Linked DNA regions of Sus scrofa. The protein of the gene in region 1 interacts with the protein of each later gene in a pairwise test. Links are inferred from orthologs where the notes say so. Each region holds a gene or a part of one and is shown in the gene's direction. Other genes may lie near its edges.

Region 1 (3,652 bases):
CGGGGTGCCTGCGCGTGTCCGCGCCCCGGGGGCGGGGTCGCCCCCAGACCCTCCCCAGCGTTGCGCCGCCCACTCGAGCCGGGCGGGGGCCGGGCCAGGCCGGGCCGGGCCGGGCCGGGGGCGCTGCGGAGGCGGGGCCGGGCCGGGCCGGGCCGGGCCGCTCCGAGTGGGGCGCGCGGGCTGAAGCCAGGCGGCGCGCCTGTGGAGCGCTGGGGGCGGCCCGGGGCTGAGCATGGAGCAGCGCGGCGGAGGTGAGGGGGCGCCGGGGCTGGGAGGCGGCCTGGGGGCGCCCCCAACTTCTCCTCGGCGGAGGTCCCGTGGGGAGGCGGCATTCCACAGCTGCCCCCACTTTATGGAAGCGGCGGGGGATGGTGGGGGGTGGACTCCGGGGGATGGGTGGGGGGGCTCCCGGCTTCCTGTCTCTCGGAATGGGAACTCGTGATCCCAGACTTGATCCCGCTGGATGGTCCTTGGAGTTTGGTGAGGGGGAGACTTTCCCCAACTCTTCTGCCCCCAAAACAGGTCCGTGGGATCTCGGACCTTGGCCAGACCTCCCTCGGGCCCCAGCTGGACCCAGCCCTCAGCCGCCCCCAGCCCACTGAGCGGGGGAGCGTGTGCTGTCCGGGTTTTTCAAGGATGTTGCGGAGAGCGAGGGGTTTTCTTCCCACAGCCACAAACGCATTTCTCAAAATGGAGCCTCCACTTGCCCCTCCTTCTCTCTCGGGCTCCAAGAGCGGGAGCCTGGCTGGCTGGGCCTGGCTTTCCAGACGCCTGGCGCTGGCTCGCTGGGTGTCTGGATCTCAGGGCCCAGACTGATGTCTCTTCTGGTTGAGGGGCCCCTGGCTCACTGGATCCGCCTGACCCTGGGGCCGCTTTCAGTCTTTGTCTCCCGTCTTCGGAGTCTCTGTCTCCTCCCCTCAGTTTCCACTTTTTCTGTGCTCACTGAAAAGTAGGAAAACGCAGAGGTGCCAGTCCCCCTAGCCCCCTAAAAAGCCCCTTCCCCGCTGTTGTCTCCATGCTCTGGAGTGGCCTGGGAGAGCGCAGAGGGCGTGTTCCACCGACTTTGCTCAGGGCTGGCACTTGTGGGGTGGACTCAGCCCCTACCCCTGCTCCCTGGACACCAGTCACCCCGACCCCAGTTCCGCTCCTCCTCAGTCGGGACACCTCCCCAGTTCTCTAGGGCTTTTGACTTTAGTGGGGAGGTTGCGGGGCGGGAGGGGGGGGACCTTAATGGAACACAAGCGGGAATGAAGGAGAGCAGATCAAGCAAAGGATAACGTCTCTCCTCTCCCTACACTCCAGCAAGTGACAAAAACCAGGCTCCCACTCACCCATTTGGCCCTGCATGCCACCCAGGCGTGCGCTCTCTCTCTCTCTCTCTCATGCTCCCATGCACACACATTGCTCTGTATGCACACTCTGTACACACTTGTGCACCCTCAGGTACACATACTCATGTATATATGAATGGACATCTCTCCAAACATCTCTCATAGTCACACTCATGTACCACAAATTCACTTATTATGTATGCATTTGTAACTTTCATGTACTTTCTGAGAGAGATACATTATTTTGCAAACATTCTTTTAAGATCTGCACGTATGAGTGCACATAGATACTCACGTGTGCCTGAACGTACCGTTGCATCTGTCCAAACATATATGTGTACTCACACACACTCACTCATGTTTTCACACACAGTGCTCATTTTCATGCTCTCGTGCACAGTTTCACACGCACAAATAAGTAAATGCACACACTCCTACTCCTACGCAATTCTCTGTCCACATCTTGGCCCCTGCTCTGCATGATGACTTCAGCAGATGCCTGAGTCCTGGTGTTCAGCCTCCGGACTAGGGAGGGAGTTCCGGGCGGAGACTTGCTGTCCTCTTCCAGGAAGGAGCAGGGGCTGGGGAGGTGGAGCCCTCTTCCCTGGGCTCCAGGGAAGTGAGAACTTGGAGCAGCTGCCAGAGGTGATGGTAGGGCTTCTCTCTTATCTCCTCAGGGTTACCCGGGGAATGTCTGAAGCCGGAAGGTTTCATAGAGGTTGGCAATGGGCCTGCGTGGGCTTCTGTAGGCCCCACTGATTGGGTGTGGCAAGGCTGGGAGTTGTCATGGAAACAAGCATGAACCTGCATCCACCTCTGGGAGGCAGGAGACCCCAGAGGGCACCTGTGGGCTCCCTAAGAGCTCTGGGTTCTCGTTTGGCCAGCTCCACCCTTCCCGCCTCTCTGTCTGGGAGAAGCTGAGGCCTAGCTGGGGGAGGCTGGGCACTGCCTGGCCTTGGCTTTTTGTACCCTAATTACCGTCTGAGTTGCTGACTGTACCCCTGAGAGGTTGTCCACCTCTAATGAGGCCACCTGCCCCAAGAGACCAGGGGCCTGTGCTAGGAGCTGGTAGAGAGGGCGCCCTCCCTCACTTGAGTCCTGACCTCTGTGGGGGATGCTGTTTGGGGCTGGGGCCTGGGCCTCTGCTACCAAGGGCCCTGTGTAACCACCAGGCCTCCCATCCCCTCCTCATCCCTGCTCCGTCTATTCAGGCCTCAGCTCTGTTCAGACCAGGGCTGGGCAGTGGTCTGGGGCCCAGGGAGAATTGAGGTTCCATCCCTTGATCAGAGGAGTAGCCCTGGGGGGTTTCAGTGCTTGCTTACCGGTGCCAGCGGGCTGTTTGACCTCCGAAGGACCAGGAGGGACTCGGCCTTATTTAGGGAGGAGCTCAAACTGGAGAGACTCTGATACCACTGCCCTGCTCACAGGTTTCCCTGGAGGCCCTTGGCCAGGCCTGAGCCTCTGCCGCCATGGCCATTGTGCAGACGTTGCCGGTGCCACTGGAGCCCGCTCCTGAGGCCGCCACTGCCCCACAAGCTCCAGCCATGGGCAGCGTGAGCAGCCTCATCTCAGGCCGGCCCTGCCCCGGGGGGCCGGCTCCTCCCCGCCACCATGGTCCCCCTGGACCCACCTTCTTCCGCCAGCAGGATGGGCTGCTGAGGGGTGGCTATGAGGCCCAGGAACCACTGTGCCCAGCTGTGCCCCCCAGGAAGGCTGTCCCTGGCACCAACTTTACCTACATCAATGAGGACTTCCGGACAGAGTCACCCCCCAGCCCAAGCAGTGACATTGAAGATGCCCGAGAGCAGCGGGCACGAAATGCCCATCTCCGTGGCCCCCCACCAAAGCTCATCCCTGTCTCTGGAAAGCTGGAGAAGGTGAGGACCAGCCCGTCCTTTGGGGCCTGGGTGGAATCAGGGGTCTCTTGGAAAAGCTGAGGTTTGGAGGCCTATTTAGAGGAAGGAGCGTGGGCTCCAGATTCACCAGATCTGGGTTCTCGTGTCAGCTCTGCCTCATTTTGGTTGTATGACCTCTGGAAAGTCGCTTAACCTTTCTGACCCCCAGTTTTCACATCTGTAAAATGGAGGTAATAAGTCAACTCATAGGATTGTTGCGAGAATTAAATAACATGTGTAAACTGTTTAGCCTACTGCCTGGCACTTAATATGTACTCAATAGCTGCTCAGAAATACTTTATGACACGACAGCTGTTTGTTTGAGCACTGCCCATAATTCTGCTGAGCCTCCATTTCCTCATCTGTAGTATGGGAAGAGTGATAATATTTTGCTTATATATATGGCTGTTGTAATGACTAGAGAGG
Region 2 (4,343 bases), on another chromosome or scaffold:
GTCTTTTTGCTATTTCTTTGGGCCGCTCTCGCGGCATATGGAGGTTCCCAGGCTAGGGGTCGAATCAGAGCTGTAGCCACTGGCCTATGCCAGGGCCACATAAACGAGGGATCCGAGCTGCGTCTGCAACCTACACCACAGCTCACAGCAACGCCAGATCGTTAACCCACTGAGCAAGGGCAGGGACCGAACCCGCAACCTCATGGTTCCTAGTCGGATTCGTTAACCACTGCACCACGAACCATTTTTAAGTGTGCAGTTCAGTAATGTTAAGAGCATATTCAGAGTTCCCGTCATGGCACAGTGGAAATGAATCCGACTAGGAACCATGAGGTTGCAGGTTCGATCCCTGGCCTCGCTCAGTGGGTTAAGGATCCGGCGTGGCTGTGGCTGTGGCGTAGGCTGGCAGCAACAGCTCCGATTTGACCTAGGCTGGGAACCTCCATATGCCATGGGTGAGGCCAGACAAAAGACAAAATAAAGCATATTCATGGAGTTCCTGTTGTGGCTCAGTGGGTTAAGAGTCCAACTAGTGTCGATGAGGATGTGGGTTCGATCCCTGGCTTCTTTCAGCAGGTTAAGGATCTGATGTTGCCACAAGCTACAGTATAGGTCACAGACATGGCTAGGATCTGGCATTGCTGTATCTGTGGTGTAGGCCTGCAGCTGTAGCTCTGATTCAGTCCCTAGCCTGGGAACTTCCATATGCTGCAGGGTGGCCCTAAAAAACAAACAAAAAGATTTTTTTTTCATTTTTAAGGCTGAATAACACTCCACTATACGTAGAGACCACATTTTATTTAGCCATTCATTTGTCCATGGACACTTGGGTTCTTCTGTCCCTTGGCTGTGGTGAATAATGTTGCTTTGAACATGAGTGTCTTTGAGACCCTACTTCCAGTTCTTTTGGGTATATACTCAGAAGTGGAATTGTTAGGTGCTATGGTCATTCTCTTTGATTTTTTGGTTGGCCCTCCATGCTGTTTTCCTAGCGGTCACACCATTTTACATTCCCACCAACAGAGCACAGTATTTTGTATGCTCTTGGCCCTTTTTGGTCTAATGTAGAACATCCATGGTACTTGGCCCTCATCTAACTTCTCAGCCCCATCTGGGTTCCTAGAGCCACAATCAGACAGTGCCTGGTTGCTGAGCTCCTTTGATGGGGTGGGGAGCTGAGGTCTGTGGAGGGGAGATGACCTGCCCTTGACCAGCCCCTCCCCACCCCGCCCTGCCCCGCCCACCTCACTCTTTGCCCCATGGGATTCCCTGGCTTTCCCCTTGAGCTCCTGGGCCATGAGCACCAGGAAAGGAGAAGCACCTGGTTCAGGGGTGGTGCTCCCTGGGTTCCCCCACCCCCTTGTCCACACGTTCATCCACCAATGCTGTGCTTTCTGCCCACCCAGGTCCAACGGGCGCTCCTCCAAGCGGAGCCTTGGAGGGCAAGGCCGGCACCATTACCTCCAACGAGTGGAGCTCTCCCAACTCCCCCGAGGGGAGCAACGTCTCTGGGGGCAGCCAGGCTTTGGACAAGCCCATTGACAATGACGCAGAGGGCGTGTGGAGCCCCGACATCGAGCAGAGCTTCCAGGAGGCCCTGGCCATCTACCCGCCCTGCGGTCGGCGCAAGATCATCCTATCGGATGAGGGCAAGATGTACGGTAAGGAGGCTGTCAGTGTTGGGCAGCAGGCCCGCCAGCTCATGGTCCAGCCCCAGGAACAGCCTGGGCACAGCAACCCGGTTCCCTCCAAGTGATGGAAAGAGGTGACCTCTTGGGGCTTGTCCTGGCAGACGCTGCTTTACTCTGTCCTAGGCTCCCAAGGGCTGGGAGGCATCAGGGGAGACACCTTTGGGTGGCTGTGAGGATGGAACTTGGGAAAGCCTAGAACATCCCCCCGGGGCAGGCTGGGAAAATCCCTTTAGCCACCCCCCAGGCAGATGCCTGATCTCCCAGCTTCCCACTGTGGCTGTGAAGGCCTTTAGGAAGGCGGTCCTGGTTCACTCCCTCATTCATACCTGGGCCTTTGGTGTGCCAGGCAGGGGCGGGGCAGATCTAGTCCCTTCTCATGGTACGTGGGGGTGGGCATACAGGTAACTGTACACAAGGCGTTGAGAGTGTCCCGGGGTTGGGGGGGGGTGAGGACCACCCCCCTGCAGGAGTGTGCCCCTTAGCTGAGAGCCATCAGGGAAGGCGTGGTCTGGGGCTCCACACGCCCTCTGCGTCATTGTCAATGCAGGACACAGAGGCACTTTGTCCCGCAGACCCTGGGAAGGAACGAGCCGTCTGCCTGGGCTGTGTTGACTTTGGGATGGAAGAGAGGGTATCTGGGAAGCAAAATGAACACGGAACAACTTTTAGAGGCTCCGTTCAGGCTTCCATTGCCATTGGAAAGTTCCCTGGGACCCCCAGCCTGAAACACTGGGACTGGGTAGGAGCTGTGGGGATCTCTGACTGGCTGAAGCCCCTGTCCACAGAGGGTCTTGCCCTGCTTCCCATGAGATGGCTCTGGGCCAGTGCCCACCCCCACGTGGGTGCCCCTCCCCCAGCACAGATGCCTCATCAGCTGACTGATCTCAGCTCCTAGGGCTGCTGTAAAAAACCACCTCGAATTTCAGGGCTGCCTTAAGATGACAGACATGTATCCTCTCCCGAGTCAGAAGGTTGAAGGTCTGAACTCAGGGTGCTGGGGGTTGGCTCCCCTTGGAAGCTCTGCCGGAGGATCTGATCTGTGCCCCCTCCCAGCTTCTGGGGGCAGCTGGAGGCCCTTGGTGTCCTTGGCTTGTAGCTGTAGCACTTTGGTCTCAGACTCTGTTGTCACATGGCCGTCCTGTCTGTCTGTCTTTGTGTGTCCTCCTCTTCTAAGATACCAGTCGTTGGATATAAGGCCCCCCTTAATCCAGTGTGCCCTCATCTTAGCTAGTTAATTCTGTAAAGACCCTGTTTCCTGGAGTTCCCTGCTGGCCTAGTGGTTAAGGATCCAGTGTTGTCACTGAAGCAGCTTGGGTCACTGCTGTAGTGTGGCTTTGATCCCTGGCCCAGGAACTTCCAGATGCCATGGGCAAGGCCAAAAAAAAAAAGATCATTTCCAGATACGATTACATTCTGAGGTTCTGGATGGATGTGAATGTTGGGGGCGGCGGGCGCTGTTCCACTCTGTTCAATTAACTAAACTCAAATCTGCTTTGTGACTGGTCTAGGGAGCCAGCCCCACCTGCTTGTCTTTAATCTGCACCTGCCCTGCAAGGGCAGGGATTCCTTCTCCTGCTGGAGGAAGCAAGGTCCTTTCGAGCTAGACCCCAGCTCTGCTCCTCGGTTACCTGTTACAGCTGCTCATCCGACTTTACCAGCCCCTCCGCTGAGGCTCTGCGGGGCCCCCACTTCTGCGGGTCTCCACGCCCTGGTTTGGGCTCCCCTGGCACCTTGCTCTAACCACGTCCTGCTCCAGTGGTTGCTTCTTACTTTGGGTCCCCATGGAAGCTTCACGGAAGAGGCAGCCGCTGTGCGCAGAGCAGCTGTGGGTGCCAGGGGTGGGACCTGCTTTAGGTAGGCTCTTCCCGTGGAGCTGGGTGGCCTGGGCTCTTCCACGGCTTGATGGAGAGTGGGGTGCGTGTTGGTCATGAGCTGAGGTGTGACGGTGACGTCGTGGCGGGGGTGTGGCTGGAGAAATCAGGGTCCCTTGATGGGGCAGTGGTCAGTGCCCAGGCGCCTAGCAGGATTGATCTTCCTGCTTTAAAAGGACACATGGCCTGGCAAATACAATTGTGTTCGAGGCGCTCGGTGTGGGGAGAACGCTGAGGGTGCTGCCTGTTGGGGAGGCCCCGGTGGTGGCAGGTCTGGAGAGCCAGCAGACAGTCCTCGCGTGCCACAGTGGGACCCACTGTTTCTTTGTTACCCATTCTTAAGTGTACAGCTCAGTGGCATTAAGTACGTTCACATTGTGGTTGAGCAGCCATCCCCACTGCCCGTCTCTAGAACTTTCTCATTCCCTCCAACTGAAACTCTGTCCCCGCTCAGCACTGGCCCCTAGGTCCCTCTCCCGCAGTCCCTGGTACCCGCCATCCAGTCTACCGCTTTGGCTAGAGCTCCTCCAGGGCCCTCATATACATGGAATCACACAGTATTTGTCCTTTTGTGCTGGCTTTTTCACCTGACATCATGTCCTCAGGGTTCCTCCGTGTCATTTCAGGTGTCAGGATGTCCTTCCTTTTTAAGACTGAATCACCTTCCACTGTACGCACGAGCCGGTGGTGTTTATCCGTTCACCCAGCTGATGGATATCTGGGCGGATGCGTCCCTTTTTCTTAGTGGTGACAGGTGGATGGTTCTATCCATATTCACATA
Region 3 (4,106 bases), about 61 Mb from region 1:
TCAGAACCCCCTGTACATGCCCCCTGCTCCCAGTTCCTCTGGAGAAGAGCTGCGTCAAGCTGGTGCTGGCTGCCAGCTGCTCCTTAGGTCAGGGCCAGCCATCTGTCCGCACTCTACCAGTTGTTTGTCCTCCAGCATGGTATCTCCCAGCTTTGGTTGTTACTCTGTAAGTATTTTGAAGTATAAACACTCAGGTAGAATTCAACTTGCTCTGCTTTCTACCAAGTATACAATACACCTTGGACATATTTACAGGCCAGGGCAGGTTCTTCATTCCTTTTCATCATGGTACCGTGTTTTACTGTAGAGATGTGTGATAACTTGTTCCCCAGGAAGGACATGTTTCCAGTTTTGCCATTTCAAACAGTACCCTAAACTAAATACATAAAAATCTCTATACATGTAGCTTTTGCTCTTATGTGGGTAAATCCAAAACGTGACAGTATTGGGTCAAAGAATATTAAATGTTGTCAGATACTGCCAAAAAAGAAAGTACCAATTCCCATGGGGCCTTGTTTTAAAAAACAAGGTACCATTTTTCACGCCACAGTATAAACGTCTCCATCTGTTCCCCTTCTCTGGCAGGTGGGCATCAACTACCAGCCCCCCACGGTGGTCCCAGGGGGAGACCTGGCCAAGGTGCAGCGGGCCGTGTGCATGCTGAGCAACACCACGGCCATCGCCGAGGCCTGGGCCCGCCTGGACCACAAGTTCGACCTCATGTACGCCAAGCGTGCCTTCGTGCACTGGTACGTGGGGGAAGGCATGGAGGAGGGCGAGTTCTCGGAGGCCCGGGAGGACCTGGCGGCTCTGGAGAAAGATTACGAAGAGGTGGGCGTGGACTCGGTGGAAGCGGAGGCCGAGGAGGGGGAGGAGTACTGAGCGGGAGGGCGAGGCGGCCCCCCTTCACCCTGCTCTGTAACGTTCCAGATGTGTTTACCTATTAAAGTTTCTGTATTGAGTGTCGTCTGCTCCTGTGTTGCTCTTCGGCCAAGTTCCCCGACCAGATACTTGCCTTTTCCGAGCGAATTCCTAGGGAAAAATCATGTTTCCTCCCAAAGAGAAAAAATGAGGCACCTCAGTTGCTGTATTACTTCCAGAATAAGAGTATAAGGCCAGTGGGGAAATCGGGGAAAATGTTTTAAGTTTAAACACTCCGGATCCTTCGCGCCCTTCCTCCGGGACCGGAAGCGGTCCGGGTCACAGTCGCGGGACCACAGCGTTCACCCTCCTCGCCCCGTCCTCTGGAGGAGCTGCCCCAGAGCCTCCCTCCCGTCCACAAGGGGCACCTCTCATCAGAGGCATGCGTGCCCGCCCAGCCAGGGCTCCGCATCGCACGACCAGCCCGTTCTTGTCAGAGTCGTTTCGGTCCTGCGCGCGGCGCCCCGCAGGCCGACCACTTCCGGGGCCCGCTCCGCCCCTCAGCGAGCGCCGCGCGCTTCCGGGTCTCTATGGTACCGACTTCCGCCGCGAGCCACATCTCGCGAGACTTCGGCGGCGCAGCAATGGCGAGACCGTAAGTGCCGCTGACGGGAGACGGGAGAGTGGGTTGGGAAGGGCCTCTGACGAGATCGGGCCGGTGTGGACGCGCCAGGACGGGGCCGCCTGGAGCAGGGTGGCGGCTAGGGGCGCGAGGCTTGTCCGGGCCCAGATAGCAGCCCGCAACCGAGTTCCTGCCTCTTCTCCAGATGCCGCGTCACTGCTCCGCCGCCGGCTGCTGCACGCGGGACACGCGAGAGACGCGCAACCGCGGCATCTCCTTCCACAGGTCAGCGCGCGTGCGCGCTGGCGCCGAAAGGGTCACGTGTTCATTAGTCTGTCCTGCCCACCTGAGGAGCCTTCACTGCGCACGCGCTTCGGCGGGTCCGGCGAGGCTTGAGTTAGAGGCTGATGGTGGGCGGAGCTGCGGTGGAGAGGGAACTAGCTGCTGTCAGAGGCACCCTGGTGCAGAGCCAGTCGCTTTACGTTTTGAGGCCTCAGCTTCCTAGTCTGTGTGCCCACAGGGTCCGGGGGCAGCATGAGTCAGGCCGGCCCTTCCCATCCGGTGTGTCGCCGGCGGCCCAGCTCTGACAGGCTTGTTGCCCTACAGGCTTCCCAAGAAGGACAACCCGAGGCGAGGCTTGTGGCTGGCCAACTGCCAGCGGCTGGACCCCAGCGGCCAGGGCTTGTGGGACCCAGCATCCGAGTACATCTACTTCTGCTCCAAACACTTCGAGGAGAACTGCTTTGAACTGGTGGGAATCAGGTGAGCCTCCTGCTGACACCAGGGCAGGCCGCCCTGGTTCTTCCCAGCTCAGAATCTCAATTTCCTCTCCGGACGGAAGCAGTTAGAGACACACACACCCCGGGTATCACTGTGCCAGAGGGTGCTCCTGGAGCCCAGGCACGCCAGCAAAGGCACAAACATAGCCGCTCCTTTCAGGGGGTCAGCCCAGTTCTGGTGGGGCCTTTCCAGTCACCTTAATTCTCAGGAGGCTCTCATGGAGGAGATGGGGTACCTCTTAACTTGGCATCCCCCAAACTAGCTGTTTGCAGTGTGCCTCCCACCTGCCCCAGTGCTAGCCCAGGATCCTGTTCAGGGGCTGGGGGGCTGCAGGCTCCGCACCCTGCAGGTCAGCCTGGGGTGCAGGCCCTCTTCTCTACTTCAGACTGCTTTCCCCTACAGTGGGTACCACAGGCTGAAGGAGGGAGCAGTCCCCACAATATTTGAGTCTTTCTCCAAGTTGCGCCGAACAGCCAAGACCAAGGGGCACAGTTACCCACCCGGCCCCCCTGATGTCAGCCGGCTTCGGCGATGCAGGAAGCGGTAAGCGCTGCGCTGGGGGATGTCCCACTTCACGTCTGAGGGACTGGGCTTTCGGATGGAGCCTTGCTGGACAGGGCTCTGAGCCTATGGTTCAGGGATGGGGGTTAGGTGGGCTGGTGAAATGAGGTCACTGAGCCCTGAGCCTGGCCTGTCCCTTGCTCTGTCTCCCTGTAGCTGCTCTGAGGGCCGAGGGCCCACGACTCCGTTTTCTCCACCTCCACCTGCTGATGTCACCTGCTTTCCTGTGGAAGAGGCCTCCGCACCTGCTGCTCTGTCTGCTTCCCCTACTGGGAGGCTGGAGCCTGGCCTCAGCAGCCCGTTCTCAGACCTCCTGGGGCCCCTGGGTGCCCAGGCTGATGAAGCAGGCTGCAGCACCCAGCCCTCCCCCGAGCGGGAGCCCGAGCGGCAGCCGTCCCCTCTGGAGCCTCGGCCTGTGTCACCCTCAGCCTACATGTTGCGCCTCCCTCCTCCTGCTGGAGCCTACATCCAGAATGAGCACAGCTACCAGGTGGGCAGTGCCCTGCTCTGGAAGCGGCGGGCTGAGGCTGCCCTTGATGCCCTGGACAAGGCCCAGCGCCAACTGCAGGCCTGCAAGCGGCGGGAGCAACGGCTGAGGCTACGGCTGACCAAGCTGCAGCAGGAGCGGGCACGGGAGAAGCGGGCACAGGCAGATGCCCGCCAGACTCTGAAGGAGCATGTGCACGACTTTGCCATGCAGCTAAGCAGCAGCATGGCCTGAGTGAGGAGCTGCCCATCAGGGTTCCTGCCTCTTCCTCCTTCAGGATCTGCCTAGAGAGGGACCTGACTTGAGCTGTGTCTGACCTGCCAGATGCCATAATAAAGCGGTTTCTAGGAGTTCCCATTGTGCCTCAGTAGGTTAAGAACGTGACTAATATCTGTGAGGATGTGGGTTTGATTCCTGGTCTTACTCAGTGGGTTAAGGATCCAGTGTTGCCACAAGCTGCACTGAAGATAGCAGATGCAGCTCGGATCTAGTGGTGCCATGGCTATGGCATAGGCCCCAGCTACAGCTCCAATCCCTGGGAACTTCCATTTGACACAGTATGTCCCTTAAAAAAAAAAAAAAGTGGATTCTAGAAAGAAGCCCTGTTCTCTGCCTCTGCTGGGGGTGGGGCCCCCTCCCTCCCCTGAGGTCTGCTTCCCCCCAGACTGGCTGTAGCCTGGAGGGCTCAGACCCTGGAGGCCAAGCTCTTGGCTGTGGAGAGCAGAGCCCAGTTCTTGGCAACCCCTCCCCAAGCAGCTCCTTGTTCTACAACATTCTCTGAGGGACAGGGTGGTG
Region 4 (4,313 bases), on another chromosome or scaffold:
TGAGCTGCTCATCTTCACTTCAGCTAGAAAAAGAAGAGTGTCAGCCTAAGCTCTCCTCCCTGCCTCTGATATCCTCCCTCTTCCCACACTTTGCCCTCCAACCACAGAAGAATTTAGGGCCACCCTTTCTTAAAGGATCCTAGACTGGAGCAGTTCTCTCCAGCTCCTCCTATTCACACCTCAACCCCTTTTTTCAGAGACAGGAAATTCTCTGGGGTCCCAACACTTGTGTGTAACCGGCAGGTCTTGACCCATTAGTCCTATCCACATCCCTAACGCTCCCCAAGGCCAGGCCCCTCTCTCCTCTATGTCAACTCCAGCAGGGCCTGCGGCTCAGATTCCCTACCCCCGCAAGTCTCCGTTTGTCCCCGGCCCCATTCCCAAGGTTTCCGAAGTTTCTTTCCAGGCAAGAGCTAAGCTCCTCTTTTTCTCAAAGTCTGGGGATGGCAGTTAGGTCCCTTTCACGGGAGTCTCCTTATCCCGCCTCCATCCTTCAGACCACCCCCTCCTTCCTTCGGTCCCGGACCTGGTCACTTCCTTCCCCACCCCCACATCAAGGCACGGAGACCCCTTGTGCCGCGCCCAGGAACAGGGGACGCGGCGCGGCAACGACCTCAGACTCACCGGCTGGACGGGGACTGGGACCGGGGGGGCGGGGAGGGGAGGGGAGTTTCTGCTTCCAAGGAACCGCGGCGACGGCTACAACGCAGGCCGCGGATCCAACCGCGGCAGGCGAAGTGGGGCGGGGGGAGTGGAAACTGGGGAGGGTGGGGAAGAGGGCAACGCGCAAGCGCTTAAAATCGTGCGCCGCGGTGAACGCCGGGAGATGGAGTCCTCGGAAGCTAGAAACTGGCGCAACTGAGAAAGGGCGAACTACGAATCCCAGGACGACCCGCCCACGACCCTGGTGTCGCGAGGCCCCTGAGGGAAACGCTCCGGGGCGGGGCGTAGGGAGCCGCCACCGGAAGCGGAAACGCAGTACCGTGTTCTGGGCCAGGGAGCCTGGGAAATATAGTCGAGTGATCTTATCACCGTGGGGCTGAGAGGGGGCGGGGAAAGGAACAAGACAGGCTGGATCATTTACTGCCGCTCCCTCTCACACAACGAGCCTCAGGCGTGCGGCCCTGCTACCCAGACCATTGACCTCATCACCGACCAGCTGCCTGGCCCTTATCGCTTGTGGAGCCCCCCTGTCCGAGTCAGCCTGCCAAGGAGACCCTCAACGGGGCCCATATTTCACTCAAGGGTTTGATCTCCTGAGGTGGGAGGTGAGGCCGGGTTCCGCGCTGAGGGACCTGGGTAGGGTGTGCTGGCTGAGCTGAGAGGTGTGAGAATCGGGAAGGTCCCGTGCGCTAACCTGAGGTGGCGCCAGCCATTCTGTTGCTCGTCCCCTTGCACTTCTCCATTTCCTTTTAAGGCTTGAACAGGGCCTTCTGCTGCGGGTGCTAAGTGCGACCTTCCAACCCTGGTCAGATTAATGGTGAGGGGCTGCGTGACTATTTCATTTCACGGCTTCTGGGCATTCTCCGCCTCAGGGCCTTTCTTAACCCAGAGGGTGGTTTCCCAGGTCCAGAAAATGAGCTTGGAGCGGGGGCCACGTTGAGGGAGGCGAAGAGCATTGTGGGGGCGTTAGGTAAAAGCAGGACCCCAACCGACAGATATTTCTCGATCCTCGCGCTACCAGGGCACGTGGCGTTTTGCGCTTGTGTTATTGGAAAGATTCCAGGGCGGGAAATAGCCCGGAGCAGCGCGCCTGCGTGCTCCAGTATTGTTTTTGTTTGTCCCCCGCCCGCTCCCCATTCAGCTGCGCATGCGGCTTTGACTGTGGACGCCTTTGCTTAGAGTAGCGCCATTTTGCAGTACGGAAGCTGCAAAGCAACGAGTGGAACCTCCCCGCGAATCGGCTTCCTGCTTCCGGACAAATGTCAAGTCTGTTTTTGTTTAAGAATACCCCGAAATAGGATCCAGGAAGATTTAAAGAGCCAGGCTGATTGTTTTCCTTAATGGTATGTCCCGCGCAGTTGTAAAGTAGTTTCAGAGAAAGGCTGTTATTATTGATGGTGAGGATGGAGTGGGGGCAGAGCACAGGACTTCTGGGCAACTGTCTTACAGAGTCTACTTTGTTAACCTTTACTAAGGGGCATGGTCTGTTACCATAGGGTTTCCTATTTTTACACAATCCGTGGTCCTCGGGGTTCACTTTCCGCGTAGGAGGGTTTTTGTTTGTTTTTGTCTTTAGGGCTGCACCGGTGGCATATGGAGGCTCCCAGGCTAGAAATGGAATTGGAGCTACAGCTGCTGGCCTACACCACAGCCACAGCAACGCAGGATCCAGCCGTGTCTGCAACCTACACCACAGCTCACAGCAACGCCGGATCCTTAACCCACTGATCTGAGGCCAGGGATCGAATCTAATCAGGTTTGTTAACCACTGAGCCACGAAGGGAACTCCCGGGAGGGGATTTTTGATTCTAAGGATACTTGTTTTTATCCCAGCAGGTGTCTGTAGGTGATTCTGGTCATTGCAGGACCATCTGGGACTTGGCTTCCCCCTGCCTAATCTCATTTTCCCAACTCTCCCCAAAGCCATGTCCGGGTCCTCCCTCATTAACTTTACCCCAGCCACTGACCCCAGTGATCTCTGGAAAGATGGGCAACTGCAGTCACACCCTGAAGAGCTGGAGCCCACCCTGGATGGGGCTGCAGCCCGGGCTTTCTATGAAGCTTTGATTGGGGACGAGGACAGCACCCCTGAGCCCCAGAGATCTCAGCCTGAGCCTGCTAGAAAGAGGAAGAAAAGACGAACGATGAGGGAGACTACAGCAGGAGCATCAGGAGAAGATGGACAAAGGAGATCCCTTGAGGCAGAGGACAAGATGACCCAGCAGATACTGAGGGCAGCCCAGGAGGGGGACCTGGCAAAACTGAAAAAGCTGTTGGATCCCCATGAGGCAGGGGGAGCTGGAGGGAATATCAACGCTCGAGATGCTTTCTGGTGGACCCCACTGATGTGTGCTGCCCGAGCAGGCCAGGGGGCAGCTGTGCGCTATCTCCTGGGCCGTGGGGCGGCCTGGGTGGGGGTCTGCGAGCTGGGTGGCAGGGATGCTGCTCAGCTGGCGGAAGAAGCAGGCTTCCCTGAAGTGGCCCGCATGGTCAGAGAGAGCCCCGGAGAGACAAGGAGTCCAGAGAACCGGTAAGGGGAAGCCTTATCTTTCATTGTGTTCTGCCCTTCCTCACACTTCACACAGGAGGCCACAGAATAGAGCCAAAGGGTTTACTTTCCTGTTCCCTAATGTAGGCTGATCGGGCAGTGTGATTATGAACAGGATACTCCCTTGGATTATTTTTTATATAAAACATTTTTTTCATTAAAAAAAAAATTGGGGTAGTTCCCATTGCGGCTCAGTGGTAACAAACCCAACTAGTATCCATGAGGACGAGGGTTCAGTCCCTGACCTCAGTGGGTTAAGATCTTGGCATTGTCGTGTGGTGTAGATCTCACATGAGGCTCGGATCTCACATGGCTGTGGTTGTAGCATAGGCCAGCAGCTACAGCTCTGATTTGGCCCCTAGTCTGGGGACTTCCACATGCCGCAGGTGTGGCCCTAAAAAAGACAAAAAAAATTTTAAGTTTTTTAATTGAAGTATAGTTCACGTATATTTGCTATATTCCCACATTGCATGGGCTCCTTGGGTTTAAATCCTGACTGTACTTACGTGGGCAAGCAACCTAACCCATGTGCCTCAGTTTCCTCATCTAAGAAATGGAGCAATAAAAGCACCTTTCTCTTAGGGTTGTTAGGGTCAAATAGGTTAATATATGTAAAGTGCTAGAAAAGCACCTGTCCCATACTAAGCACTATACCAACACTAGCTATGGTCACTATTGTTATTTTTCATCACCCAAGAACTTTGTGAAGCCTTTTTAACATCTGTTGGCTCAACTATTCCCTTTTGGGTCTCTTATCATGAAGTGGGGAGGAAGGCAATTTGTTCCTCAGCAGAAATACAGGAAGGACCTAACCCTGCCACCCTCCTGAGGCCTCAATCCTTGTGTTGCCCTTAACCATTCTTTTTTCTTTGCAGGCCCCGATCCCTCTCCCCCCAGTACTGTGAGACCTGTGATGCCCACTTCCAAGACTCTAACCACCGTACATCCACCGCTCACCTGCTCTCACTGTCCCGGGATCTCCAGCCCCCCAACCTGCCCCTTGGGGTGCCTACCTCCAGCCCAGGCTTTAAGCTTCTCCTAAGGGGGGGTTGGGAGCCTGGAAAGGGACTGGGACCCCAAGGTCAAGGCCGTGCCAACCCCA
Region 5 (4,450 bases), on another chromosome or scaffold:
TTTGTTTTGTTTTTTTTTCTTTTTTTGTCTTTGTAGACACTTCAGTTCAATAGAAGTCTTAGCTCCTCCTCAAGGGATATACATAACAATCTGATGTAAATCTTTTTAAGTTCTGCTAGAACTAAGCCCCCCCCCCATGGAGGATGGTAACTATGTAACTACCAGCTGAGACCCTGGTCTGAAACTAAGGAATGATGTTGACCTTTGCTGACCCTCATTGACTTCAGTCAACTAAAGCTTGGATTCTGGCAACCTTTGCCTCAATTCTATTGTGAATTCTCTTTGGCTCAAGGCCCTTCATGAATATGCATGCACCCTTAGCTTTAAACTTCCCCAATTTTGCTGTTCCAGGATACACTGCTTGGGGAAAGACACCGCCGTGCACACGCGCGCGCGCGCACACACACACACACACACACACACCCTGCCCCGGTGTTCTTCTTACTTGCTACAAGTAATAAATTTTACCTTCTTCCAATCTTTGGCTTGGTTGTGTCTTTTGGCTTGAAGCCCACCAAGAGGTGAACCCAGTTTTCAGGTAACACTAAGGAACAATTAAAGAGTTGAAATCCAGAAGGGATTTGTCCTGGACAAGAAGCGGGACACTTCTTTCACTGCTCTTGGAGCAGAGGGAACACTGGATTTGGATATATTTGTAGGAAGAACTTTAAGTGTTTTCCTCCTGATTGCTTCTAGTTTCTCTGGGAAAGAGAAGACAAGAAGGGACTTCAGAGTGATGATGGGCAGAAATACCAGCCTTGCATAAGAACAAGAGAAGCAGCTAAGGGCACGAAAGGATTGATGGTCCAGGTGAAATTGAAAACCTGGACTTGCCCCGGCACCAATCTACATGGCTATGCGGTTTTCTTCACCACCGCAGTGTAAGTAGAGAAAGGTTATACACAAAGAAAAGGAGCGGCAAAAATTCAAATTTCCTTTCGGCTTTTTCTGAAAAGACAAAAGAGAATCCTTCCATTGACTCAGTGCCTCCGTTCACCCAGTCAAGGGGTCATCACTAATCACTGGTCTCCTGTTACTGAGTGGAGAGTCTTAAAGAGTAGAGAAAAAAGAGAAGAGGCAAAAAAACAGGTCCGCTCCTGGTCGGGTGGGAAGGAGAGGAACATTTAGCCTTCCCTAAATACTAAAAGCTGCTATATATGCCCTGGGACTCAACTTCTGACCCTTCCCCCCAAGACGCTTCCTCTTTCCCAGTACCTTACACCTCTCCCGTCGTGCCACATTCTTGCCGCATTGGGACCCTTCTCGTTGTGCTCCACCCCGCCTCCAAACTCACCTTTCCTTCACGTGGCTCTCTGTATATATCGGTCGCCTGGGAGACCCTGGCCGGGCGGAGTCTAATGACGCCACAATAGCAAAAAGCCAATAGCCGTGATGCGTCTCAGTGACGCGAAACGCGGGGTGTGACTTTGACGGCCCCGGCGCAATGAGGCAGCTGCCCGCTGGGTGGCGCCGATTTCCCGGGGAGGTCCTCTCTGGGCCCCCGGCGGAGGTGGGGGAGAGGCGGGCTGGAGCGGAGACCAGGGAGCCCTCTGCGTCAGCTGCTGCTCACTGCGCCGCTCCAGTACCAGTCAGGACTCACCCGCAGCTCCATGCTTGTGCCCGGCTCGACTCGTCCATCCTCGGAGAAGAGGCAGGTACCTGCCACCTGTCGGATACTGGGGAGGGGTGATGCGGAGGGCAGTGTTGTTTGAGGCTCAGAAAGTGAGGTGCCAACGACAGGCTGGGCAGAATGGGCACTAGAAATGTAGGGCGAGTTCCAGCTGCGCTGAAGATCTCCAGCTGTGGGTACCAGTTGTAGGGGGGAGGGGGGGCACCAGCTGACAGCCCAGGGTGCCAGGAAGAGCCATCTGTGCGCTAATCAGTGTGTTCTACGGAAACGCTGCTTGGGCAGGTCCAGGTCTCTGAGCCCTGGGTGGGATGTGGCTGAGAGTGACGCCTGGACACTGACAATCCTTTCCCCACGTGTGCGAGCAGCTCATTTACTCCCTCTGTCAAAGCTCCTGGGGGCTGTCTCTGGTCGGTTTGCCAAAGGGGGTGGGGTGGGGGGAGGGTAGCATTTAAGTGGAAGGGGAGATTTTCCACCAATCCCAAACCAGAAAGAGGCATCTTTGAAATCTTCACCAATCCCAAACCAGAAGCAGGCACGCGGTGCTCTAAGGCTAGTAACTTATATTTAACAGCCAAAGGGAGCCCTGGCCAATCCATTCTAGTTGTCCTCTAAGGAGTGAGCATCTACCTCCTGACCTGGCTGCTCTTCGAATGGGGCCGAGTTGGAGATCCTGCTGCTGCTCGCCTCCCCAGGCACAGGCATGAGAAGGTCCCCCAATGAGAACCCAAGGAAAAGGAGAGCTGGTTGAGCTGGGGTTGGATCAGCCACCCCTTCTCTGATGCTGTAGATAATGTCAAGCCGGGGTCGGAATGAGGACTGGAATGAGGGCCGGGGACAAGGGCGTCCTCTGAAGTGCATCATCAGGACCGGAGCTGAGTCAGTAGCCTCTGCTGAGACAGGGTGGAGGCCCCATCTTGGGTACTCCCAGTCCTCAGGGAGAGCCATCGAGAAACAGGCCAGACAGACTGGGAGCAGACCAGAGCACCAAGAGCCGAGAGGTTAAGAATCCTGCTCCTTCCTCCTGTGACCCTGCCCAGCCAGCCCCACTCCTTGGGCTCCGGGATCCTGAGCACTCCTACAGGTAGAGTGGAACTGCCCCAGAGCAGCTGGGCTTGCTCCCGGGAGCCCCGGGGAAGCTGCACTTGCTGTATTTTTCTAGGCAAAGGAGGAAGGAGCCCAAGAGGGCCCGGCCTTTTGCCGGTGGGTGGACTGGACATCTGGGAATGGGGCAAGCCTCGTTTGCCTTGCCACTTATGGGACACAGACCTGCTCAGAAAACCATGGCATTAGAACAGCACTCCCGCGGGGTAGCCTGGAGGCCCTTTTCTCCCTAGCCAGGTTCCCCCGAGGGTGCTACTACAAAAACTACCTCTAATTATAAGTGGAAGTATTCAATATAGTAATAATTACCATTTATTGAGCTCTTACTAGGTGCCAGGAAATTTACAAATATTATTTAATCCTCACACCTGTGAGGTATAACATTATTATTATTATTATTCCCATTTTACAGACTAAATAAGGTTCAGAGGGCTTAAGGGACTTGCCCACCGACTTAGAGCCAATAAAAGGGAAAGAAAGAATACAAGCCCAGGCTTAGAAGTCCATTATAAATGAGAATGGCCTGGGAACCTGAGGAGGTCTCACCTGCCTTTGTATCCGTGTGCCCTTGAGCACGCTGCTGTCTGCCTCTAGGGCTCTTCCATCTCAAGAGTAAAGCAGGCAGACAAGCACTGAGGCTTCTTCCTCTCCTCCAGTTTTGTGACTGGCACCTCCTTCTCCATATTTTTGCCTCCATTCCACCCCCATCCCTCTACCATCTTTCCAGTTCTATTTCCCCTTGAATCCCCCTTCTGTCCCATTTCAAAATCCCTCCCTTCAAACAGTCTTGTAGGATCTTGCCTGGCACGGGCCCACCTCAAGGGAGGGCCTGCCACTGCCCCTTTAATTCTGCCCAGGCTTGGAATGCCAGTGAGTGGAGCTAGCCATCTCCGTGAGGTCAGATAAGATACTATATATATCGGAGTCAGTAACCTGAGCTCCGGATTACCCGGCCCCAAGTCAGACTCCTGCCTCTGGGCTCGCCACTGCACTCCCTGCCCTGCTGGGGAAGGAGAAGCCCCCAGATCCCATCCCGTGTCCCTGGACACAGGTCAGTAGCTGTCCCTTTGCTATCCAAACTTCACAGGGCTGTTGTCCAGAGGGCCCTGGACTGTCTGTTTGGGGGAGCCCTGTCTGTTTGGGGGAGCATGTGAGAGGCTGCCCCACCTGGCCTGGTAGGTGCTATGAGCAAGACCAAAGGCTCAGAGACCAGGAAGAGGAGAGGAAGCCCTAGAGGAGAGAGGGAGCCTGGGGCTCTCCTGTGGGGTGGGGGCACCCAGAGGGAGGTGGTTGGAAAAGAAGACCTGAGGACTCCAGTATTGCCTGGGGGCCTATATCTTTGCCTTTTCTTGGAAGTGTAGCAATGCCCACCCCCTCCCAACCCCAAATCAAGAAGCGCCCTCTAGAGACGCCACCCTCAGCCCACCCAGCTCTTCTCCAGGCAGGATTCTGGCTCTAATCTCTGGTCTCTTTATCTAACCTCTTTGCCCCCTCCGATCCCTTGGGCAACTACTGGGATTGAGAGAGACTGAGAGGGGCCCCAATCCCCTTGGATGACCCCCTTCCAAGGCATCTGCAACTGGTGGGTCACTGGGTGCCAGCCCCTGAGAGATAGAACTGTGAGTGACAGGCCAGAGGGAAGGAGACAGGCTGGGACTCCTAGGGGCCTGAGGAGTAAACAGAACTCCTGGACGGTGAGAGCAAAATATCCACCACCCC
Region 6 (4,116 bases), on another chromosome or scaffold:
CAATGGTCGAGAGTCAAACTAAGAGGGGTCGTCACCGTCTGTCCCATATTAAAACTGTAGACAAGGACGCACAAGACAAAGACACACAAAACAGAAACCAACAGATCCAGACACACGCGACCCGTCCGCGTCTTCCACAAGCAGGCAAAAGAGTCGGACGGCCGCGGAGGGGGAAGCTTTCGCTTCAACAACAGAACTCGGTCCTCTGACCGACAGAAGGAGACCACCAGGCGTCCCTGGCTCTCCCCACCTCCCGGGGCGTCCCCCAGGGTGGCAGCCTGTGATCCTCCTAGCACGTCTGCTGATCACAGTCCCCCAGTCCTTACGGTCTGAGAGGACAGCTGCAAACCGAAAGCGCGCATCACCGAAAACAGACACTCAGAACAGAGACGCCAGCCGACACACACACTCACACGTTCCAAAGGGGATCCCTTTACCTCCAAGTCGGTTCTCGGGTGTGAGGGGTAGTCGCGGGTTTCCCGGCCAACGCACCAAACTGAAAGGCCAGTCGAGTTAAAATCCCTCTCGTCCTGACTCGGAAGAGGCGACACCCCAAATCACTCACGAGAAGCGGTCTTGATGCAAACAGCAAGAGGATTTTTATTCCGAGCGCGCTGGGGCCCACAGTCGTACGCCACGCAGGGGTAGAGGACTGCGGCCCCGAGTGTGGAGTCGGGACAGCTTTTATGGGGTTCACAACAAAGCCCGCGCTTTTACAAACTAATCATTTTTAAAATATCGCAAACCAGTCAATTCAAAACTTCGAGAGCCCGCGCTTTGTGGACCAATTAATTTTAAGTTGTTCTGGAGTTACATGTTTGTGCCTGTCTCTGGGTGGGGGAGACATATTGTCACCAAGATATATTTATCAGGATTTTCAACATTTTGTGGCACGCCCGATCTTACTGGGGTCCGTTAGGCAATTGACTTCTCCTCTTTTTATCTTATGCAAGCAGGTTTACAGAAGCCAAACAAGCAGTTAGGAGCAGTTTCAAGAAGTTTCAAGCATAGAGGCACATACTCAGGGGCCTGTTTTTCCCCTTCCACAAAGTTTTGTACAGAGCAGAAAGCAAGCCCTAAAACAGCAAAAAGTATGATCTTTTACCTATAGGGAACAGGGTCTGGAATTCGAGGGCATTTAGAGCTTCTTATTAACTTCCTGGGTTCTGGGAGAGTCAGGTTGCATTTTCATCCTTTCATCTGCACGTGCGTTTCCCCCACAGCAAAGCAGAACGAGGGACGGTGGAAATAACCCAGGGCTGCCAGGCCCGACGCTTCCAGCAGCCCGCCGTTTCTGAGGCCTTGTCCTCACCATCCTGCTTCACCCGGCCCGTGCCCAAAGCTTGGCCACCCCCTGCCCCATTGCTGGTCCTTATTCCTCGCGCCTTTGCCACGAGCCCCGTCAGGCCCTGCTTGTCCTCATCAGACGCCTGATGAGGCTCCACGTGCCCTCAATCTGCGCCCGCTCAAGCTGCGTGCGCCCCGTCACGTGCCCGGTCACGTGCCTTGCCACTCTCCCGCGCGTGCGCGCTCCCTGAGGGCGGTTGGCGGCGTTTGGAGCGGAGCCATGAGCGGCTCTTCGCGGTCCCTGAAAGGAACACCGCGGTCGGGTGCGGACGGTCAGGTATAAAGGGGCGCCGAGCCGCCGCGGAGGGGGGGGGTGCCGCGCAGAGATGGGGGCAGCGCCCGGAACCCGGGAGCCTTGCAAAGGGACGTCGCCCCCAGCCAGGTGAGGGCCCGGGCGCTGGAGAGGCAGGGGCCTTGGCCGCCGGAGTCGGGGCGCCAGCCCCGGGCTCTGAGACTCTGTGTTTCATTCCCCCACCAGTCTCTGTACCAGCGGTTAAGTCAGAGGATGCTGGACATCTCCGGGGACCGGGGCGTGTTGAAGGATGTCATCCGAGAGGGGACTGGAGAGCTGGTGACACCCGACGCTTCGGTGCTCGGTAACGGACCGCAGACCCGCCTGCCGTCCACCCTCGGGAAGCTGGCAGTGCCCAAGTGTTGGCGGGTGTTGGGCACCAGGCTTGGCTCTGCACTTTGATTTTGGAGGCCACGTTTAAAACATGAGTTTTGTTATAATTGGCGTCTTAAGGGATAAGGAGGGAACCCCTTACCCCTTTGTAATGGGACTACGGAGAACAAGGGATCCCACCAGCCCAGCTCTCGAACCTCAGAGCCTGTGGGCAGGCCTCCAAACGTTGAGCGAAGATTTTTCCAATCACTCCTGGTGAGGGGCAGTTTAAGGGCAGCTGGTACTTCCATTATTTTTGTGGGACAATTAAGGAAATTTGATAGGGCGGTGAGGGTGTCTTTGGTCCGTTTACCTCCCACTATCTCTTTCTTCTGTCCCAGTGAAATATTCTGGATATCTGGAGCACATGGACAAGCCTTTTGATTCTAACTGCTTTAGGAAAACTCCTCGGCTCATGAAACTTGGGGAGGGTAAGTTCAGAAACAGAGCTGGAAAAGAAGTGATCATTTGGGGAATTGCCCTAATGAGGGCAACACCCTAAGACCACAGAATGATCTGGAGCGCTGATTCTTTGAGTTGGTTTTCTGAGGCTGGGCTTTGCTAAACCAGCCCTGTTGTCTTCCATGCTTCCCTCCTTGAGACATAGGTGTTTGGGAGATGGCCTTGCTGGCAGAGTTATCTTTGCAGCCTGACTTAAATATTGGGTGCTACACTTTTCTTTGCTAGTTGATTAAGTCAACACCTATTGAATGCCTGCTACCTCCAAAGCACAGGGAAAAGAGAGGAGGTACTGAGGATTAGAAGGTCTGGGGCCAGTGTGGGGGAGGGAGATTAACATATTCCAGACAGCTAAACTGGTGGAGTTTCTAGGAAGTGTAAGCCATATTTTGTGGCAGTGCTCAATTGAAGGTAGAGTTAATTCCAGCTGGGAGGTTCAGGGAAGGCTTCATGGAAGAGGGGGCATTTGACATGATCCCTAACGTTTGAATAGCAATCCCCCCAAGGTAGAAGCTGGGCATGGGTGGGGGCGGGGGCAACACTGGAGGAAGAAGGAACTTCATGGACGAAGGCTGCTGCAGAGCCTAGAGGAGTTAAGGTCTGGGACGGAGGTGGTGGTGGTAGGGAAACAAGGCTGAGAAGCGTGTTGGGACCACAGTGTAGAAAGGCTGGAGATACCATGCAGAGAGATGTGGACCTGGAAGGGGGAAGAAAGTCATTGGCATTGGAACAAGATACTGGGTCGGCTTCCACCATGCTTCTGGTCCCTTCTTCCAGACATCACACTTTGGGGCATGGAGCTGGGCCTTCTGAGCATGCGGAGAGGAGAGCTGGCAAGGTTCCTGTTCAAACCGACCTACGCCTACGGAACACTGGGCTGTCCTCCCCTGATCCCCCCAAACACCACCGTCCTATTTGAGATTGAGCTGCTTGACTTCCTGGACTCTGCTGAGTCGGACAAGTTTTGTGCCCTCTCGGTGGTGAGTCCTGGGGCACAGATGTCAGCACTTAAGAGAGAATGGGATGGGTTTGTATTTCGGTAATTATCCTTATCTGCTAATGATCCTCAGCCCCAGGTTCCACTGAGGCCCTGGGGGGTGGGGGCGGGGAGTTCCCCACTTGTTAGTATTTGTCTGTCTTAGTTCTGGCTTCATGTGTAGGCATGTGTGCTAGGCTGAGAGTCTGCTAGGGACTAGCAGCTTGAGCTGGTCTCTTAGTCACTGTTTGTCTAGCTCTCCCTGCAAGACAGTGAACATTTGTTTCTCAACAGTGGTTTCCAGCAAATCAAGCATTGATAGATCCTGACTAGGGTGACCATATAATTTATTATAGCAGGACATCAGGTGTAAACTGGGACAATCCCAGGCAAACTGGGACAGATGGGTTCTGTCCCCATAACTTAAAAAAAATTGCCTTTGCTTTGTAGTCTTTCACTTAATTCATCCCTTAGAGTTTAGAGCTAGGTCTTCTAATCACCAGCAGTCAGGTCCTGTCCTTGTCATGCTGTTCGCCCTGACTGTCCATGTGGCCTTTGATATCCAGCTCAGGTTTACATATGTATATGATGTCTCCCCAGCTAAACTGTCACCACCTCAGGCGAGGGATCTTGCCTTTTCCTCATTTTCCTGCAAAACAGAGGTTCTTGA
Region 7 (4,422 bases), on another chromosome or scaffold:
CCTGAGCCATTTATTAATAATAGATAATTCCATAGTTAACTAAGTATGCTCTATACTCTGTTTTTTGTTTTAAAGATAATTGAATTTTGGCATGATTTTACAATACTTTTATTCCCAGTATTCCACGTTTTATGGGTCTTGACAAGTGTGTCGTGACACATACTCACTCTTATAGTATCCTTTGGAGTTGTTTCGTTTCACTGCTCTAAAAATGCCTGCACTCCATCTCATCATTGCTTTCTCCCCTTTCCCGGCCACCACTGGTCTTTGTAACATCTCCGTAGTTTTGCCATTTCCAGAATGTCACATCATTGGAATTATTAAAGAAAAAATGACACTCATTAAAGACCAGTCCAGCAGACTTTACTAGGGGGAGTACAATAAGGGGTTTTCTCAGTTGGGGGGGGGAGAGTTTGGGCTCCATTCCACATACAGGAGGGGAAGTGAGACTTTATAGCTGGGCAGCAGGTTGGGCAGCAGGTGCATGCACAACCACTACGAGGAACCAGCAGAGCTAAGGGGGGTTCTGGCTACATGGACCTCACAGGATCCCTCCTGAAAGCAGCCCGGGATGATCAGACACCACTTGGGCAAGGGTGGAGGCACCTGGCTGAACTAGCTTAGCAGGATTCTTGCTAAAAGTGGGCACTGCAAAGACAGACTCAAGTACCGAACTCGTTTGGGAAGAGAAATCAGAAGAGCCTGACTACCATTTGATCTAATAGCAGAGTCTTTGTGCCAGTCATACAGTCTGTGCCTTTTCAGATTGGCTTCTCTCACTTGACCATAAGCACTGGAAGTTTTTCCATGTCTTTTTGTGGCTTGACAGCTCATTTCTTTTCAATCACTGAATAATAGTCCATTTTCTGGATGTACCACAGTTTGTTTCTCCATTCATCTACCAAAGGACATCTTGATGGCTTCCAAATTTTGGCAATTGCGAGTGAAGCTACAATAAACGTCTGTGTTTCAGGTTCCAGGAATGCTTTTTTACTTAAGGAAGAAGGTACAAAGATAGCCTTCCCAGGTATCCCGGACTCAGTTTTCCTTAGTGCTAACATCTTAGGTGTTTAGGGACCTTCGTCAAAACAGTCAGGGGTAAAATTAGTCAGTGGCACTGTTGGCTAGACTTATCTGGATTTTACCAGTGTTTATATTTCAGGATGCAATCCAAGATACCACATTGTAGTTTGGGTGTGTCATGTCCATTAAATATGTCCATAAAATTAAGCATATCCTTAGATAGTAGGCATCAAGAGATCAGCCAGAAGGATCTGGTGTTCCTTCATCCTGTAAGCAGGTTTCCTTTTCGTATGGTTGTCTAGAACTCTTGGAAGGTTTTTTTTGGTTGCCGCTTGTTTTTGTCAGAGCATGCAGAATTCCTAGTGTGCAAACTTAAGATTTGTTTCACGAGGCTGCCGTTTCTAAACCAAGTATTCCCATGTGTTGAAGGAAGGTCGCTGAAGGTTATTTGGAGACCCAGGCAACATTCAGTGGCCAAGTTTTTACTAAAAGCTGTCAGGGCATCATCTTCCAAGTGGGGACAAAGGATGAAGCTTTTGGCTTGGTCTCTAATGAGCCTCTCGCCTGTTTTGCTGACAGAAGGACTCCATGAAAGATGACAGAAGAAGTCATCGTGATAGCCAAGTGGGACTACACGGCCCAGCAGGACCAGGAGCTGGACATCAAGAAGAACGAGCGCCTGTGGCTGCTGGACGACTCCAAGACATGGTGGCGGGTGCGGAACGCGGCCAACAGGACGGGCTATGTGCCTTCCAACTACGTGGAGCGGAAGAACAGCCTCAAGAAGGGCTCCCTCGTGAGGAACCTCAAGGACACACTGGGTGAGTGTCCTTTCTCGGGATGCAGGGAGGAGGGGTCATCGTTTTAGTTGGTGTAGGAGAGGAAAAAAAAAAAAAAAGGATGTTTTAAGTATTAACATCTTTCTTCGTGTCTTTTTCTGAAATTCTGGAAATGGGGAGAGATCCAGCGGAGAAATCCACTGTGTCGTTTCTTGGAGATTCTAGAATCTGGAGTTCCATGTGAGCGGACCCTTCTGTGTCCGGGGCCCCTGCTCATTTCTGTCTCCTGGCATCCACTTTCTGGAGGGTCCCGGGATGGAATTGCCATCCCCTAGGGATGTCCACAGCTCCACCTGTGTCATTCCACCAGAGCTTTTCCATCTCACAGAATCCTGCACCTGTGGCTTTTGTGCATAGAGAAGCAGACAGCGAAAAGCGCTTTGAACCAGGTGAACTTTTCCCCTCTTTTAAATTGGTGGCATTTCACACTGCAGCCCTGGGCAGTGCCAGCTAAGTGGGGACAGGAGTGGCGGTGTGATGCCAGCTGACCAGGGTGACTCGTGGGGGCTCTCTATCTGCCCGGCTTTCTTCCTGCGATCCTGTTTCCCCTCCCTGGTATCCAGCCGTGGGAAAGGCCACCTGCATCCCCTGATATTGATGGTGTCCAGTATTGCTTCAGTGTGGGTATCAGACTTCTGCACAGTAGTTACTGCTGCAGAGTGTGGGTGAGAGCGTGGGCCCTGCCACCTGAGACCACTGCTTATCACAGAAGAGTTTGAGGTTGAAAACATGAGTGTTATCACCCACGTGACATTTCCTTGAGGTTTTCCTTTTCATTTCTTTGGTTTTTTTGGTGTGATTTCCCCTAATTTTTATTAATGGCCATGTCCTCAATCTTGGCACAGTTGTTGGTATAACAGAGGTGCCTTAATTAAAAAAAAAATAATTGAATAAATAATTAGTTATTGCATCTAAGTTGATAATAAGAAATTATGTCTAACCAGTCTTTAGGCTGAATAAATTGAGTATTAAATAATAAGAAAGCAGTTCTTGCTATGGCAGATGGAGAAGTCCATCACAATTAAGTTCACTGGGACAAAATGACTTAAGTTGATACTTTATTCTTGACTACTTGGCAGTAGTCTCATAATGTTTTTTTTTTTTAATGATTTTTATTTTTTCCATTATAGCTGATTTACAGTGTTCTGTCAATTTTCTGCTGTACAGCAAAGTGACCCAGTCACACATACATATATATGTTCTTTTTCTCACATTATCCTCCGTCATGCTCCATCACAAGTGACTAGATAGAGTACCTTTTCATTTCTAACAGAATTTGTTTCATTTGCGGGAGGGGAACAGGTAGGAAAACCAGAAAGAAAATGTTAAACTCTGCATGTGACAAGACTTGCAACCTACCCACCTTTCATTTTTCTGCAATCTGAACGCATCCACTGCTCTCATCGAAACCATTTAGAGCCTTTATCCATTGGGTAGTAATTCTATGTTACATGTTAGGTTATTTCCACAATTTGAAGGGAGAAATGAGACATAGTCCTGTGTGTGATTCACACTGACTACTGTAGGTTCTGCCTGATGGAGAAATTCTGTTTTTCATGAGTAAGCTGATTATTTTTCACAAATCTGACACCCTTTTATCTTTTTTATCCTTTTTTTTTTTTCTTGATGATCATGTCACTTGAGAAGAATATTGTTGTCCAGTGTTTATAACTCTTCATTAACTATAAGGAAAGGCAGGCAGGAGTTCTCGTCGTGGCTCAGTTGTTAATGAACCCAACTAGCATCCATGAGGACATGGGTTCAATCCCTGGCCTTGCTCAGTGGTTTAAAGATCTGGCATTGCCATGAGATGTGGTGTGGGTCACAGATATGGCTTGGATCCTGAGTGGCTGTGGCTGTGGCTGTGATTGGCAGCTGTAGCTCTGATTCGACCCCTAGCCTGGGAACCTCCATATGCCACAGGTTCAGCCCTAAAAAGACGAGGAAAAAAAAAAAAGAAAGAAAGAAAGAAAGAAGCATGAATAGGTAAATACTTTGAGTGCCCTGACATAATTTTATTTATTTTTTCCAATTTCAGCCTCTCATTCACTGAAGTACCTGCTTTTGGAGATGCTGAACATTGTTGACTTATATTCTTACTGTTTTTTAAAAAAATCTATTCTCAGGATTCTAGTAAAGAACGAAATACTCAGGGAATTCCCTGGTGGCCTAGCAGGTAAAGGATTTGCATTGTCACTACAGTGGCTCCGGTCACTGCTGTGGCATGTCTTCAGTCCCTTTTCAGTTCCTGGCTTGGGACCTTCTGCATGCCGCAGGCGTGGCTGAAAAAAAAAGAAAAGAAGAAGGAAATGCCCAGAAACTGAGCAGAATGCTAGGAAGTAACCTAAGACAAAGCAGGCACTCGCGTTATCTCCAGATTCCTTTGAACAGCTTGTCACTTTTTCCTTTGGTTTTTAGAACAAAAAGACAGCTGAGTGATGAAGCACCCCTCTCTCTAGGGTTCAGGTTTTCATGAGCTGTGGTCAGTCCCATGTGTCTGCATACCCTGGACTCTAGAACTCAGGGGGCCTGGCTCAGCCAGTGCATGCGCGTGCTGGGT

What was found.
Region 2: the proteins of LZTS2 (region 1) and TEAD4 interact in binary tests that used the Homo sapiens proteins (3 or more experiments, as listed by UniProt). The two-hybrid records come from large-scale screens. The link is inferred for Sus scrofa from reciprocal best matches to the Homo sapiens genes LZTS2 and TEAD4.
Region 3: the proteins of LZTS2 (region 1) and THAP7 interact in binary tests that used the Homo sapiens proteins (3 or more experiments, as listed by UniProt). The two-hybrid records come from large-scale screens. The link is inferred for Sus scrofa from reciprocal best matches to the Homo sapiens genes LZTS2 and THAP7.
Region 4: the proteins of LZTS2 (region 1) and GPANK1 interact in binary tests that used the Homo sapiens proteins (3 or more experiments, as listed by UniProt). The two-hybrid records come from large-scale screens. The link is inferred for Sus scrofa from reciprocal best matches to the Homo sapiens genes LZTS2 and GPANK1.
Region 5: the proteins of LZTS2 (region 1) and USP2 interact in binary tests that used the Homo sapiens proteins (3 or more experiments, as listed by UniProt). The two-hybrid records come from large-scale screens. The link is inferred for Sus scrofa from reciprocal best matches to the Homo sapiens genes LZTS2 and USP2.
Region 6: the proteins of LZTS2 (region 1) and FKBP6 interact in binary tests that used the Homo sapiens proteins (3 or more experiments, as listed by UniProt). The two-hybrid records come from large-scale screens. The link is inferred for Sus scrofa from reciprocal best matches to the Homo sapiens genes LZTS2 and FKBP6.
Region 7: the proteins of LZTS2 (region 1) and NCK2 interact in binary tests that used the Homo sapiens proteins (3 or more experiments, as listed by UniProt). The two-hybrid records come from large-scale screens. The link is inferred for Sus scrofa from reciprocal best matches to the Homo sapiens genes LZTS2 and NCK2.

The regions. Positions count from the first base shown.
Region 1 is NC_010456.5:112,081,108-112,084,759, forward strand, and holds part of LZTS2 (leucine zipper putative tumor suppressor 2), read left to right. Parts: intron 1-111; exon of another isoform or gene 112-251; intron 252-399; exon of another isoform or gene 400-1,982; intron 1,983-2,758; 5' UTR 2,759-2,800; coding exon 2,801-3,208; intron 3,209-3,652. UniProt on the Homo sapiens protein: Negative regulator of katanin-mediated microtubule severing and release from the centrosome. Required for central spindle formation and the completion of cytokinesis.
Region 2 is NC_010447.5:67,164,647-67,168,989, reverse strand, and holds the start of TEAD4 (transcriptional enhancer factor TEF-3), read left to right. Parts: upstream 1-1,410; 5' UTR 1,411-1,435; coding exon 1,436-1,661; intron 1,662-4,343. UniProt on the Homo sapiens protein: Transcription factor which plays a key role in the Hippo signaling pathway, a pathway involved in organ size control and tumor suppression by restricting proliferation and promoting apoptosis.
Region 3 is NC_010456.5:50,590,971-50,595,076, reverse strand, and holds THAP7 (THAP domain-containing protein 7), read left to right. Parts: upstream 1-1,298; 5' UTR 1,299-1,303; coding exon 1,304-1,516; intron 1,517-1,688; coding exon 1,689-1,768; intron 1,769-2,089; coding exon 2,090-2,245; intron 2,246-2,665; coding exon 2,666-2,806; intron 2,807-2,980; coding exon 2,981-3,545; 3' UTR 3,546-3,665; downstream 3,666-4,106. Other genes in the region: tubulin alpha-3 chain, read left to right, coding at 586-882. UniProt on the Homo sapiens protein: Chromatin-associated, histone tail-binding protein that represses transcription via recruitment of HDAC3 and nuclear hormone receptor corepressors.
Region 4 is NC_010449.5:23,777,514-23,781,826, reverse strand, and holds the start of GPANK1 (G patch domain and ankyrin repeat-containing protein 1), read left to right. Parts: upstream 1-1,480; 5' UTR 1,481-2,006; exon of another isoform or gene 2,007-2,419; intron 2,420-2,496; exon of another isoform or gene 2,497-2,499; 5' UTR 2,500-2,588; coding exon 2,589-3,193; intron 3,194-4,086; coding exon 4,087-4,313.
Region 5 is NC_010451.4:46,587,426-46,591,875, reverse strand, and holds the start of USP2 (ubiquitin carboxyl-terminal hydrolase 2), read left to right. Parts: upstream 1-1,521; 5' UTR 1,522-1,651; exon of another isoform or gene 1,652-1,655; intron 1,656-3,662; exon of another isoform or gene 3,663-3,782; intron 3,783-4,450. UniProt on the Homo sapiens protein: Hydrolase that deubiquitinates polyubiquitinated target proteins such as MDM2, MDM4 and CCND1. Isoform 1 and isoform 4 possess both ubiquitin-specific peptidase and isopeptidase activities.
Region 6 is NC_010445.4:10,668,335-10,672,450, forward strand, and holds the start of FKBP6 (inactive peptidyl-prolyl cis-trans isomerase FKBP6), read left to right. Parts: upstream 1-1,240; 5' UTR 1,241-1,567; coding exon 1,568-1,624; intron 1,625-1,825; coding exon 1,826-1,943; intron 1,944-2,352; coding exon 2,353-2,442; intron 2,443-3,247; coding exon 3,248-3,450; intron 3,451-4,116. UniProt on the Homo sapiens protein: Has an essential role in spermatogenesis. It is required to repress transposable elements and prevent their mobilization, which is essential for the germline integrity.
Region 7 is NC_010445.4:49,106,377-49,110,798, reverse strand, and holds the start of NCK2 (cytoplasmic protein NCK2), read left to right. Parts: upstream 1-1,618; coding exon 1,619-1,844; intron 1,845-4,422. UniProt on the Homo sapiens protein: Adapter protein which associates with tyrosine-phosphorylated growth factor receptors or their cellular substrates. Maintains low levels of EIF2S1 phosphorylation by promoting its dephosphorylation by PP1.